2 linked regions of the Ovis aries genome follow. The protein of the gene in region 2 purifies or fractionates together with the protein of the main gene of each other region. This does not show direct contact. Links are inferred from orthologs where the notes say so. Each region holds a gene or a part of one and is shown on either strand. Other genes may lie near its edges.

Region 1 (7,977 bases), on a different chromosome or scaffold from region 2:
AAGCTAATATAACGTTTGCGTACCATGTTTTTACTTTACTTTACTTTCTCATATAGTAAACATTGATAACCATAATCCACATAAGCCAAAGCTCTTTGGAGCCCTCATTCATTTTTAAGAGGGTAAAGGGATCCTAAGACCAGAATGTGTGAGACCTGCTGTCCTGTTTCTTTCTTACTAGGCAATGTATTCCCAGCACCTTCCTCAACCAATGTTTCCTGAATTAACTAAAGAAATACGCTCTCTTCAGGGGCAGGGGAGCAGAAGTAGCACTCCCGAAGTCCCCACGGCATTATGAGAACTAGCTCAAGACTTCACAGCTCCCTGCGCTGCAATTCCTGCTCACAAGCAACCTTCTGTTGAGTATGTCAGTTTCCTGGACACACTGACAGTGGGAATACCAACCCCAGTATAGCAGACAGAAGCAATCCAATCATCTGCAAGGAAGAACCAGACACCAGCTCAGACCCACCAAATTCAACTGATACTTCGGTTTATAAACCAATGTCTTGTGCTTATGAGTGGCTAATGCCCAGAATATTTAATAAACTATATTCGACAAAAATCAAGTATTAGGCTAAAATCAAGACCCAGCAAAGCAACCTTTGAACTGTAGCGACTCCACTAAGAAAACACCTCTTTGAGGGGCCCTGCTAAGGGCCTAGCTAGCCTTCCTCTATGATATTCTTATCATCATTTATTCAACAAAAATGCACTGAATGCCTTTAATGTACCAGGCACTGTGTTAGGTGGTGGCGAACAAATTGCAATCAAGCTCTAAATCCAATCTGCCTAAAACACTGCACATATGTAGGAAAACTGGGAAAGGTAAATCAAGGCCAGGTCATACACAGTCTTGATTAATAAGGTGCAACATAATGGAAACCAAACAACATTTTCTTGCCCCTCTTCCACAGTTAAGGCTAAGGCAATTCTGTGTGGTCTTCAGCTTCATCTTATTCTTGCCTCTTTGCCTAGCTGAGCCCCCAAATGAAGGAAGAAACAATAGCCAGGCTGTTATTAATACTGCCTCTTCCACAGTGCCACACTCTTGCAACCAGACTCCCTTTTACCTACCCCCACAATGGGGATGCTAACTGATCTCCTCACCTCTCCCTACCCTTTTTATTCTTTCCTCCACACTCCTGGATCCATATCCCTCTTCCTGGGGTCATTTTTCCTTCCCATCATCCACTCTCTCTCTTCTACTATCCCAAGTGTTTACCCCGTGTTCTTTCAAAAAGCTAGACCTACAAAGCTGGACTTAGATTTCTGTCTAAACCCCCCAAGCAATGCTAGGTAAGCGCCACTGCTTACAGAGGAGAAACTGAAGTCCATGCAAGGAAGAATTAAAGAGAAACTGCCTTCAACTTAGCAAACGACAGGCCCTCTCAGGCCTAATTTCCTGAGTGTGGCAGGAGGGCAATACCCAACAGTAAGGGATCAAAGGAGTCCAAGCATCCTGTCAAGTGGGGCTTACACCTCCTTGCGCCTGTCTGACTGCTCTTCATATGGCCCTGCTCTCTGACTGACTGGCTCCATCTCATTTCCTCAGGTCTTGGCTTAAAGTCACCTTTTTTTGGGGGCGGGGGGCGACTGGCTCCATCTCATCCCCTCAGGTCTTGGCTTAAAGTCACCTTTTTTTTTGGGGGGGGGGGTCCGGCTCCATCTCATCCCCTCAGGTCTTGGCTTAAAGTCACCTTTTTTTGGGGGGGGGGCGGGACTGGCTCCATCTCATCCCCTCAGGTCTTGGCTTAAAGTCACCTTTTTTGGGGGGCGGGGGGCGACTGGCTCCATCTCATTCCCTCAGGTCTTGGCTTAAAGTCACCTTTTTTTGGGGGGGGGCGGGGCCGGCTCCATCTCATTCCCTCAGGTCTTGGCTTAAAGTCACCTTTTTTAGGGGGGGGGCGACTGGCTCCATCTCATCCCCTCAGGTCTCGGCTTAAAGTCACCTTTTTTTTGCTGGGGGGGGGGGCGGCTCCATTTCATTCCCTCAGGTCTTGGCTTAAAGTCACCTTTTTGGGGGGGGGGGCGGCCCGCTCCATCTCATCCCCTCAGGTCTTGGCTTAAAGTCACCTTTTTTGGGGGGGGGCGGGACTGGCTCCATCTCATTCCCTCAGGTCTTGGCTTAAAGTCACCTTTTTTGGGGGGGGCGGGACTGGCTCCATCTCATTCCCTCAGGTCTTGGCTTAAAGTCACCTTTTTTTGGGGGGGGGCGACTGGCTCCATCTCATCCCCTCAGGTCTTGGCTTAAAGTCACCTTTTTTGGGGGGGGGCGACTGGCTCCATCTCATTCCCTCAGGTCTTGGCTTAAAGTCACCTTTTTTTAGGGGGGGGACGGCTCCATCTCATCCCCTCAGGTCTCGGCTTAAAGTCACCTTTTTTTTGCTGGGGGGGGGGCGGCTCCATTTCATTCCCTCAGGTCTTGGCTTAAAGTCACCTTTTTGGGGGGAGGCCGGCTCCATCTCATCCCCTCAGGTCTTGGCTTAAAGTCACCTTTTTTTGGGGGGGGGGCGGCTCCATCTCATCCCCTCAGGTCTTGGCTTAAAGTCACCTTTTTTGGGGGGGGGGGGGCGACTGGCTCCATCTCATTCCCTCAGGTCTTGGCTTAAAGTCACTTTTTTGGGGGGGGCGGGACTGGCTCCATCTCATCCCCTCAGGTCTTGGCTTAAAGTCACCTTTTTTGGGGGGGGGCGGGACTGGCTCCATCTCATCCCCTCAGGTCTTGGCTTAAAGTCACCTTTTTTGGGGGGGGGCGACTGGCTCCATCTCATCCCCTCAGGTCTTGGCTTAAAGTCACCTTTTTTGGGGGGGGGCGACTGGCTCCATCTCATTCCCTCAGGTCTTGGCTTAAAGTCACCTTTTTTTTGGGGGGGGCGGCTCCATCTCATCCCCTCAGGTCTCGGCTTAAAGTCACCTTTTTTTTGCTGGGGGGGGGCGGCTCCATTTCATTCCCTCAGGTCTTGGCTTAAAGTCACCTTTTTGGGGGGAGGCCGGCTCCATCTCATCCCCTCAGGTCTTGGCTTAAAGTCACCTTTTTGGGGGGGGGGGGCGGCCGGCTCCATCTCATCCCCTCAGGTCTTGGCTTAAAGTCACCTTTTTGGGGGGCGGGGGGCGACTGGCTCCATCTCATTCCCTCAGGTCTTGGCTTAAAGTCACTTTTTTGGGGGGGGCGGGACTGGCTCCATCTCATCCCCTCAGGTCTTGGCTTAAAGTCACCTTTTTTTGGGGGGGGGCGGGACTGGCTCCATCTCATCCCCTCAGGTCTTGGCTTAAAGTCACCTTTTTTGGGGGGGGGCGACTGGCTCCATCTCATCCCCTCAGGTCTTGGCTTAAAGTCACCTTTTTGGGGGGGGGGCGACTGGCTCCATCTCATCCCCTCAGGTCTTGGCTTAAAGTCACCTTTTTTTTGGGGGGGGCGGCTCCATCTCATCCCCTCAGGTCTCGGCTTAAAGTCACCTTTTTTTTGCTGGGGGGGGGCGGCTCCATTTCATTCCCTCAGGTCTTGGCTTAAAGTCACCTTTTTGGGGGGAGGCCGGCTCCATCTCATCCCCTCAGGTCTTGGCTTAAAGTCACCTTTTTTGGGGGGGGGCGGGACTGGCTCCATCTCATCCCCTCAGGTCTTGGCTTAAAGTCACCTTTTTTTGGGGGGGGCCCGACTGGCCCCGTCTCATCCCCTCAGGTCTCGGCTTGAGAGTCACCCTATTTTTGCCCGGGGAGGAGGTGCTTCCGGGGCACCGATCTCGGGGAGACCTTCTGTCGGGACCCCCGACAGTTCGCCAGCACGAGGGCCACGGGGGAGGCCGCGCGCGTCTCGAGGGGGGGCGCCGGCGGCTCGCGGCCCCGCGCTCCGCCGGCGCAGGGAGACGGCCGCCAAGCCCCGGCGCGAACCGCGGCGCCGCCCGCCCCCGCGCTCCCGGGCGCGCCTCACCCGTCCCCCGGCACCTCCCGCAGCTTCAGCCCCAGGGCCTGCAGCTGGTTGGCGAAGCTGACGAACTCCTCCTCGCAGCCCCCGCCGCCGCCGGACTCCGGCCGGTTCCGCCGCTCCCTGGCCAGGGCCCGGCGCGCCGCCCGCTCGTCCCGCTTGCGCTCGGCCTCGGCTTTGCGGCTGCCGCTGCCCGGCCGGCCCTTGGCGGCCTGCTTCCGGGACATGGCCTCGGCCCCCGCGGCCCGCAGCCGCAGGAGGAAGAGCCGCAGGACCGCCCGGGCGGCCGCCTCAGGGGCCGAAGGAGGCGAAGCGGCGCGGGCTACGGAGCCCGGCGACGGCGACGCGACCACCGCGCCTGCGCCGGCCTGAGGGCGGGCGGCGGGGGGGCGGGGGGAGGGGCGCCTCGGTCACGTGGCGGGACCCCGCCCCCCTCGGCCTGGCCGGGCTGACGAGCGCCACAGAGAGCTCGTCGGGGAGAGCTAGAGGGGCAGCCGTGTCGTTTGCGCCGCTCCTCCCCCTAGCGGTGAGCGGTCCTGCCAACTGCGGCGCCGCTAGGACCGGAGGGAACAGAACAGGGAAAGATTCCAAAGCCGCTGAGGAGTTGCTCAGCCGTGTCCTACTCTTCGCGACTTCATGGACTGTAGTCTACCCGGCTCCTCCGTCCGTGGGATTCTCCAGGCAAGAGTACTGGAGTGGGTTGCCATTCCTTTCTCCAGGGGGATCTTCCCAACCCAGAGAGGGAACCTGGTTCTCCCACATTGCAGGCTGATTCTTTACTATCTTAAAGCTGAATGCCGAAAAATTGATGCTTTTGAGCTGTGGTGTTGGAGAAGACTCTTGAGAGTCCCGTGGACTGCAAGGAGATCCAACCAGTCCATCCTAAAGGAGATCAGTCCTGGGTGTTCATTGAAAGGGCTGATGTTGAAGCTGAACTCCAATACTTTGGCCACCTGATGGGAAAAACTGACTCATTTGAAAAGACGCTGATGCTGGGAAAGATCGAAGGAGGGAGGAGAAGGGGACTACAGAGGATGAGATGGTTGGATGGCATCACCGACTCAATGGACATGAGTTTGCCTAAACTCTGGGATTTGGTGATGGACAAGGAGGCCTGGCGTGCTGCAGTCCATGGGGTCCCAAAGAGTTGGACACGACTGAGCGACTGAACTCTTTGCTATCTGAGCCACCAGGGAAGCCTGATGGCTCAGCCCACACCCTTTATTTAATCCTGCCCTTCTCTCCTTCTCTGCCTTCTCTCATAACTCAGAGAGAAGTAGCCCTTGTCCAGAACCACTAGCTCCTCTAATAATCTGGATTCCACCCTAACACCACCAACCTAGGTTTGCCTGAACCAAGGGTTTTCATTGGACACAGGACTTTCGATTTTAAAACGGGGACAGCACCAGGCAAACCAAAGTAGCTGGGTAATCCTAATCCACATCTGCTGCTGCTGCTGCTGCTGCTGCTGCTGCTGCTGCTGCTGCTGCTGCTGCTGCTAAGTCGCTTCAGTCGTGTCCGACTCTGTGCAACCCCATAGACAGCAGCCCACCAGGCTCCCCCATCCCTGGGATTCTCCAGGCAAGAACACTGGAGTGGGTTGCCATTTCCTTCTCCAATGCATGAAAGTGAAAAGTGAAAGTGAAGTCACTCAGTCATGTCCAACTCTTAGTGACACCATAGACTACAGCCTACCAGGCTCCTCCATCCATGGGATTTTCCAAGCTCCCCTAAAAGCTAATTCCATCAGTAATCACCTCTCCCCTGCAGAACCTCTCTTCTGCCTCATTCTGGGCCCTCTTTCTTAACACTCTCTCCCCCCTGCAGAACCCCTCTTCTGCCTCGTTCCGGGCTCTCTTTCTTAACGCTGTCTCTTCCCACAGGTGTTGCCATGGTGTTGCCTACCTCTTGACCCTCCAAACAGCCTCTTTCACCATTTCTGGAAATGTTCCTAAAGTTTCTGGCCTTAATCATTTTATTTTCGCACTCTGCCTACAAGTTCCCCTTTGGGAATAGCCTCCGTTTCCTCAGTTTCAACTAGCGTATTTATCTTCAGCTCTTGTGTTAGATGCAGGTATAGCAATGAATCAAAGAGGCGCGGCTGTTGTCCTCAAGGAGCCCAGATTCCAGTGAGATATATAGGCAAGGATACAGCAGTTTCCATGCTGCATGACATATGTTATCAAGAGTGCAAAAAGTGGAGTGAAAAATGCAAAAAGTTTTCCCAGAAGAGCTGCGTTCTGGGCTGAAGCTCAGAGGATCAGTAGGACTTGGCCAGACTAAGACGGTTAAAAGAGAGAGGATTGTGTGTCCAACACCAGAGCTCTATTTTGAGGAACTGAGGGAAGTTCAGTTTGACCAAGGAGCCCAGAACTTGAGTTATGAGATAGGAAATGAAAGGAAGGGTCCGTTCTGAGCCCAGTCTTGCAGGCTAGAGGAAAGGGTTTAGTCCAAGACCTTAGAGCCGTGGGGAGACGCTGAAGCATCTTCATCCAGAACTGACATGAGTGGGCTTACCTTTAAAATACATCTTTGGCTTTAGTTAGGAGAATGTGTTGAAGGTAGGATGCCAGGCAGAAAGTTCCTGTGGCTGCGCAAAGACAGGTGGTGGTGATGCGATGCTGAGCCTGGGATGGAGAGAAAGAGGAGTGGTAGCCTGGGAAGACGGATTCACGTGCTGGGAAAAGCTCGTGAAACAGAGTGGGACTGAACTGTTGCGGAATGTTTCACATGCTTCTCTGAAGTTCCTGAAATTGCTCCTCTACGGATCCCCCTTTCATTCTCAGAGAGAACGTGAATTATGCCTGGCCCTGTCTTTAATTGCAACAGACATTCCAAGGCCTGCAGCAACCCCTCTGCTTACATTTAGTTAAGTTGGGAGGCAGTGCTAGGAGTTGGAAACCCCTGGACAGGATGGTAGAGACCCAGATTGTGGTCCAAGTCTATCACTGACTCACTCCATGATCGTGGGTGAGTTGCTTAACATTTTCCTCACCTATAAAATGGGAGTAACAGTGAAGACCACATACAATCATAATGATAGTAATGATAAACTTTTATAGTGTTTACCATATATAAGGCATTATTCTATTGCTTTCCAAATAGTACCTTATTTAATCATTACAACAACCCAGTGAAATGTGGGGGGGGTTTTTTGAAACTGGACTTTTTTAAAAAATTGTATTGGAGTATAGCTAATTTCACACACTAGCAAACTAATGCTCAAAATTCTCCAAGCTAGGCTTCAACAGTACATGAACCAAGAACTCCCAGATGTTCAAGCTGGATTTAGGAAAAGCAGAGGAACCAGAGATCCAATTGCCAACATCCGCTGAATCACAGAAAAAGCAAAAGAATTCCAGAAAAACATCTACTTCTGCTTCATTGATTACACTAAAGTCTTTGACTGTGTGGATCACAGCAAACTGTGGAAAATTCATCAAGAGATGGGAATACCAGACCGCCTGACCTGCCTCCTGAGAAATCTGTATGCAGGTCAAGAAGCAACAGTTAGAGCCGGACGTGGAACAACAGACTGGTTCCAAATTGAGAAAGCAGTACATACACCAATATTCATTGGAAGGTCTGATGCTGAAGCTGAAAAAGCAATACTTTGGCCACCTGATGCGAAGAACTGACTCACTGGAAAAGACCCCGATGCTGGGCAAGACTGCAGGCAGGAAGAGTAAGGGACGACAGAGGATGAGATGGTCGGATGGCATCAGCGACTTGATGGACATGAGTCTGAGGAAGTTCCAAGAGTTGGTGATGGACAGTAAAGCCTGGTGTGCTGCAGTCCCTGAGGTCGCAAAGAGTCGGACACAACTGAGCGACTAGACTGAACCGACCGAGTATTCCTCATCTGGAGGAGGGCATGGCAACCCACTCCAGTATTCTTGCCTGGAGAATCCCCATGGAGAGAGCAGGCTGGCGGGCTACAGTCCATGGGGTTTCATACAGTCAGAACAGGACTGAGCGACTGAAGTGAACTGAACTGAGAGCTGATTTACGATGTCGTGTTAGCTTCAGGTACCCAGCACAGTGAGTCTGTT
Region 2 (7,354 bases):
GCTCTTGAAATGTCAGTTCAACTTTCCAATGAAGCACTGAAGGGTGTTATGAACTTCAACTTTTCGTTGTTACAAAATGCCTGCCTAAAAAAAAAATCACTTCTTACTAATAATGAGGTCTTGTAAATAAAAAAAAAAAAATCACATCAGAAATTCACTACTTCAAACCTTTCCTGATCAACGTAGAAACTGTTCTCTCTCTAGATTAGTGGAACTGGCCTGTATACATCATTTGACAATTAATGATGTACAACCCTGTGACATCTTATCTGGTACCTTAAACTGCCATTTAAATCTTTTATTCTAATTTATCTTCAAGTTTATTTTCCTGGGAAGATGGTAAGAACCTTAAGAAACTTATCTCTTAAATGTTTTTGTATCTTTTAACAGCACCTAGCACAGCAATAATGTGGTAGAAATCTGTTAAAACTGTTTTATTAATTTCAATTATTTTAGAAAAGTTACTGAGTTAGTAACTACACACATACTTAAGAGTCCGAAGAAAATAAACTAGCAAAATTTAAAACTTCAAAAACTGTGGATTGTGCTAATGCACTAATTATAGAAAAACTGCTTTGTTTAAAACAAACCAAACTCTTGCAACATGCAAGGAAAATCACATAAAATGAAAATAAATAAGGTAATTCAAGATAACAAAGTATTATAAATATTTAACTTAACCTTCAATTTTACATGTGTTAATGTAAATTGGAAGAATAAGAATTAGTGCAGTCCTAGAAGTATAGAAAAAGTGATACAGGTGTTTATTTTTAAAAGCAAAATATAAAATTTTTATGTGTGCTAGTCTTATGATGAATAAAAGAAAAAATTTACCTTAACTGCAAAACAATTATTAATACCTCTTGGATTATTGAAAAATATATTTTCAAAGTTATGGAGATATACTTAACTTTTATTTATATAGTACACATAGGAAATGGGTTTCTGGTGAAAAAAAATCAGTTTTACATCTTGTGATTTTCCAGCTACTTGGATTCTGGATAAAAAAAATATATTTCTTCTGATAAGCAAAATAGAAGTCAAAATTCTTGCAGTTAATGAAGCCTCCTCATTTTCTCTCAACAACAACAACAAAAAGCTAAAATTCAGGAAAATGAAATCAGTCTGACTATGGAGACTGTCTAAAAATTAGTGATACACTACTACCTGGTATGTTTAGGAGGCAGTAACAATACACACAGCTACTGTTTCTGCTCATTACTACCTAAATATTTTGTACCTTAGGCTCACCTTAAACGTTCACACTTAGTATTTTAAACCAAGACTGTTTGTTTTAAAATGAGCTCCTATATTCTCTAAACATAGCTCAGTGAGATGCAAACCTCACTAACTTTCTAAACGTGTATATTTAAATACCACATTTTTTCATTCTTTATTACTTCCTCTTCATATTTATTCCTCGCCTAGCTGAAAATTGAAATAAATTTACTTCCTCAGTAAATCTGAGGAAGCTAAATATAAAATGACCCAGTCTCAACAAGCATTAACCAAAATGGGGGAAACAGATTTTATTTATACAAACAGACCAAAATGTTTTTTCAAACTCGTGCCCCATGCTTACTTCTCAGTTTAATCAATCGTCTCTTCTAACAGGACTGTAGCCGATTGAATGGGGTACATATGCAATCTTCAATACTTTTATAGAGTTTATTTGCATAAGCCAAGTTAAGAAAAATTCATCTCAAATTACAAAGTCAGATGGCCTTTTCCTTCTGCTAGGGCTATGTACCACTATAACGGCTGACTGATGCCATAGTAAGCAAAGCATGTGCAGATTTAGTAGAAAACTATTCATGATTTATTAGATGTCAGACAGAAAACACATCTTTTAGTCTCTCCTTTCAGAATGATTTCTGCCCAACTAAATGCTTTAAGCAAAAGATCTGAGGTTACTATTCAAGGTATGGCTATTTTGGATATTTTTCCCAACAAAAGTAAAGAGCAAACCTTTTTTAGCATCTTGTTCTGTTTGTGGAAGAACTCTACTTTGATGTCACCACACACAGGCAGCGGCTGAGGGAACTCAAAGTACATGAACTTGTCTTCCCGTCGTGTGGGTCCTGAATTGGAGGAATATATCTTCACCTTTAGCTGGCAGACCACAAACTGAGGATCTGCATGGTCAAATACATACTAGTATCACTTCACAGGAAATGTTTTTAACTGTCAAAAGCTATTTTGATGATTAGTATTAGCAGCAGACACAAAGTAGTAATTTTGCATCTTTAATGCCCCAACTAAAACAAATCAATGGTTACAAAATAACAGAGATACATAGATAGAAATAAATCAGTGGAAATAAACTACAGCAAAATATAATCAATACCAGATTTTCCCTAATTTGTACCATCAATATGAGGTAATATTAAAAGGAACTTTTAAAACAGGTATTTGCTGCAGTATTTTAAAGTCTGTAAAACAGAATAAAAACCACAAAATACCAATCCTTACACATTCAGAAGAAAATATAACCTATAACAAAGTTATAGTACATTCCATAAACACAAGTTTCAATAATTATAAAAATATTAACCATATTTCATTTTACCTATAATTCATATTTTATTTTTAAAGGTATATAAAGCCACCACCACAAGAAACAGGAGGAAAGAGATTTGAAGCGTTTGCAAAGAAATGCAACAGACATCAAGTACAAATTATAGCACAATCTCCCTCTCTTTGAAACACATTCCATTTTCATTAACAAGTATTTTGACTTTGGTCCATGTCTGTTTTAAAATATATGGTAAAAAATAATAATAATAATAAAAATAAAATAAGCTCAAAATATATCATGTTTATATTAGCAATGCAATTAAAAGGCAGCTAAGTGTGAAAAGAAAGGCTTATGTGTTTTATTTTTTAAATCGACTCATAAATACATTTATGCTAATGACACTGATGACAGAATTTGGCTTCCAGTCACGGACACTAAGATCCTAGCAGTTAAGAAAGAAAGTAATTAAACTGAGGGGGGAAGAAATGGGTTTTTAAATTTTCAAAACATACCAAGATAATTACGAAATAAAAACATAAGCTTGCATAAAGTGAATGAGAAATATATAAATATATAGACATAAAGTTCTCATCACCAAAAGACATCATTCTTAAATATGGGGGGAAAAATGTATCACATTCTTTATCAATGTGACCGAAGCTCTGGACAAGGCAAAAAGCTTATTCAAGCTAAATAAATATTCCAGTACAATAAACACCTACTGGCTCATCTATACAATATTTAATGCAGTATCATCAATCACATAATAAATAAATAGTAAGCGATAAAAAGTATGAGTGTTTACTGCAATATGGATTTGAGAGACACTGATGAGAAAAAGGAACTCTAAAAAGAGAAATGTTACACTAACAACCTATCAATAATCTTCACTTCCTTGACTAAAGATTCAAAGTACAATGCGCTATTTTACAAGACTTAATTTGATACTGAAAATTTCACTGAGAAGTCCAGCTTGAAGAAGCGAACAAAGTATGATTTTAAAACTGTGATAAAAACCAAACAGGATGAAAATGCCTTGTAATCATATTCATTCAAACTCCACTAATTCAGAATCTGATCATCTTAATCTTAGGAGTTTAAAAAGCAAACTCACTGTGAAATCTGAATTAACAGATCTTAATTAACCTACGTCTAAAATGTGCACCTTCAAGAATTTCCGAGCTGTATAAATATTCTCATTAGAAGTTAGTGTTACTTAGACATTTCCTCAAAAAACTAGGCTCAAGTTTTAGTAAGCGAAAAACATTCCCTCACATCCCTAAAGAAGACAATTTTCTTTACAGTATGAATTTCACATTTTAGATAGGTAAGACCACACTTAACAGAAGTCCAACATCAGTATGGTTCTTTTGACTAAGACACGACTGATATATATATATGTCTTTGATAGGACAAACGGTGCTCTAATAAAACAGAAATGAAATAAAACTTAGAATTTTATATTATGAGAGAAAAATCAGTGATCATCTTTTATTAACTTTTTTAACCCTTTTAGATATATAGAAGATAGTAACTTTTTTTAAATTCAGAAATATTAAGACAATAATCAAAAAAGAAAAAGGTTGTTAACTCCTGGCAACTTTGCAGAAGATACTTTATTTCCACGTTTTGTTTTCTTCACTGATTCCTCTTCCTCCTCCTAAACCGAAACCATTATGGATCCTGTTTGTCTCAGCCCTCACACCGTTTCTGTCTGAGCCTTCCCACATTCTCAGCTCAGTTCAGTTGCTCAGTCGTGTCCGACTCTTTGCGACCCCATGAATCGCAGCACGCCAGGCCTCCCTGTCCATCACCAACTCCCGGAGTTCACTCAGACTCACATCCATCAAGTCAGTGATGCCATCCAGCCATCTCATCCTCTGTTGTCCCCTTCTCCTCCTGTCCCCCAGTCCCTCCCAGCATCAGAGTCTTTTCCAATGAGTCAACTCTTCACATGAGGTGGCCAAAGTACTGGAGTTCCAGCTTTTAGCATCAGTCCTTCCAAAGAACACCCAGGACTGATTCCATATTCTAGCCCTATATCAAATTTATATGAAAGGTTTAACTACCATGTCTCGTTCCTGATGCTTCCAACAGTATGACATATCTTTCATATAAGTTCAAATCCATACTTTCAAGTACCAATTGAATATGTTCATGTAAACAGCTCACCTTTACCTGATTTAAAACATATGTTTAAAACCAAAATATCAACATTCATGTCTCCAAGTCTCAGATTCCTTTTTCTTTCTTCCCTTTTCTGTGACTTATTCACCTGACCAGAGTAAAATATTTAGATATAAATGGCAAAAGAAAAACTAATCATTTGACTGCCCCAGCAAAGCATACCTGGCTTAAAGAAAGTCATGTAATTCAACTGTTTAATTTTCCACTGTTTTTCCTTCCCTCATGCAGTCACTACTTTCTACAAAACTGTACCTAACTACAGCTTACGCCTCTGCTACGATCACTGACAACACAGCATGTATCAAATCAAGTCCAACATGCCTGTTCGGAGTCTTCTAACAATCAGCCACACATTGTATTCCTATTCTGTTCTCCATCTCTATATTCTTGTCCAGCTCATTTCCTTCTGCTGTGCTTCAATTCAAGCTATTTCCTACTGCCTGTAATTTTCTTTAGTTTAAAGGCCAATCTAAATTGCATGCTTTCTCCAATGTTCAATAAAGAGCTGGACTTCCTTCACAAAAGTATTTGACAACTCCCCCCAACTTGATTTTTCTGAATATACTATTTGTAATTTACACGTATAACCACACATTTAGTTATATATTACAGCTTTACTAGACAGTATTGAATCATAGTATGTAAACAAAGAACTAGAAAATTGGTAAAGATTAAACAGATCTCAGTAGTAACTTGCAAAGTTTAAATATAATACTAAGAGGTCCAATATACACAGACACACACAACACACATGGTTTAAAGGGAGAGCACAACTGCAGAGAAGAACTGACAGACGTTTGCTAGAGAGACCAATATGGAAAAATAAAGTAGAGTAGATAAAATTACTGAACTAAATGTGTATTTCTGTAATATTTTGTACCTTGCCATTTGGCTCTTACACTGATATCTAACACTACAGGAAGAACATGAGTTTTTTTGCGTTTTTTTTTTTTCCCCTTTCCCTTCTCTGCTATAAATCTAAGTTCGTATGTCAATCACCTCTTGACAGCATAGTACCTTGTACTCAGCAGTTTTTAAAATTGTACTGAGATGACAAAAACATCAATGAGGTCTCTTTGAAGTCTTCCACGTGCTATGTTAAGGTCTTTGATAAATAAAATTAACTTGCCCTAAGAATACAGGAAAGATCTAATGAAGGTGATCACACCTGACAACATAAACAACATAAAGAAATTAACTCCCTAGGTATAAATTAATTCAGCATCACAAGGCTTTTAAGTTACATAAATACTGTAAGAAGAAAACTTTAGGCTAAAAAATAAAACCACCAACAAATTGCAAAGTATCAATGAAATACTGTTAGAGGTATTAGAAAAATAACACAGTTACATCTTACCTAGAAACTATAAAACTGTATTCTAAATAAACAAAACACAGTTCTTAAACATGAAATGCAACAGGAAATGGCAACCCACTCCAGTATTCTTGCCAGGAAAATCCCATAGACAGAGGAGCCTGGCGGGCTACAGTCCATGGCGTCACAAAGAGTCAGAAAGAACTGAGCACACACAGACACAAACATGAAAATACGACTAATCACTTCCAAGACAGAAACTAATACAAAAGACTCTGTAACAGAAAAAAGCAGCACAGTCTGTTCTTTTCCAGGGCTGTATTAACACTTCCACATGTTCTCTCGTGACCGCCTGCTCAGGGTCAAGGTTTTAAGGTTCCTATCAGTCTAGCTTAAGAACTCTGGCAAAGAATAGGAGAGAAGCAGAAAAGGACCAGGAGACCTGAGGTAGGCTTACAGAAGTCAGGATGAGAGAGAAAGGCAGACATCAATGACATGATCTTCTTTAAGCACTTTTCTAGGAAGTTTCAGATTTCAGAATATCCTCGTATTATTGATAAAGACAAAGAGGTGCGGTAGATGATGTGCCCTTGGTTACACAGCACATTAATGACAACTCTAGCACTGGAGGGAGACTCACGGGTCTCAGTCACTTAGTCATGTCCAACTCTGTGACCCCAGGGACTGACTGCAGCCTGACAGGCTCCTCTGTCTATGGGATTTGCTGGGCAAGAATACTGGAAAGACTTGCCATTTCCTCCTCCAAAGCAATCACGCTCGAGGGCACCCATGGATCAAATCCACGTCTCCTGTACTGGTAGGTGATTCTTTACTACTGAGCCATTTGGGAAGCCTCTTTAGCACTGGAACTCAGATCTAAAGCTAGGCTTTCTCTAATATTCCACACTCAATCAATATGCTTCAGCATGTTGCTATGTCTTATAACAGTTTTCTTTTTAACATCCTTATCACCATTTCTATTAACATCTGGTCTTCCTAAGATACTGAGGAATTGGTTCCTACCCTAACACCACTGAAGTGCTGAATCTCAATGCTACTCATACTGAATCACTGACAGGACAAGCTTTAAGTCACCAAGTCAGAATATAGGCTGCATTTGGTGGTTGTGGCATGGACTACTTCTTTCATAAATATAATATGGCTTCAAAGTCTTTCAGACCCAATGGTCTGGGCTTCCTTAGGCCAATGTGTGCTGAACAGCTGAGTTAAGTAATCAGTTTTGACACCTCAGAAATATACAAACTTGCATAAAGTTTAAGTGTGATAAATTTCTTTATAGACTTTTCATAAACTTCTACATATGTTAAGAAAAG

Evidence for each region.
Region 1: the proteins of PTEN (region 2) and OTUD3 purify together in Homo sapiens (affinity purification with western blotting; 3 studies listed by BioGRID and IntAct, with this or other methods). This does not show direct contact. The link is inferred for Ovis aries from reciprocal best matches to the Homo sapiens genes PTEN and OTUD3.

The regions. Positions count from the first base shown.
Region 1 is NC_056055.1:246,525,727-246,533,703, forward strand, and holds the start of OTUD3 (OTU domain-containing protein 3), read right to left. Parts: upstream 4,296-7,977; 5' UTR 4,153-4,295; coding exon 3,932-4,152; intron 3,918-3,931; exon of another isoform or gene 3,639-3,917; intron 1-3,638.
Region 2 is NC_056075.1:9,326,919-9,334,272, reverse strand, and holds part of PTEN (phosphatidylinositol 3,4,5-trisphosphate 3-phosphatase and dual-specificity protein phosphatase PTEN), read right to left. Parts: intron 2,136-7,354; coding exon 1,969-2,135; intron 1-1,968. UniProt on the Homo sapiens protein: Dual-specificity protein phosphatase, dephosphorylating tyrosine-, serine- and threonine-phosphorylated proteins.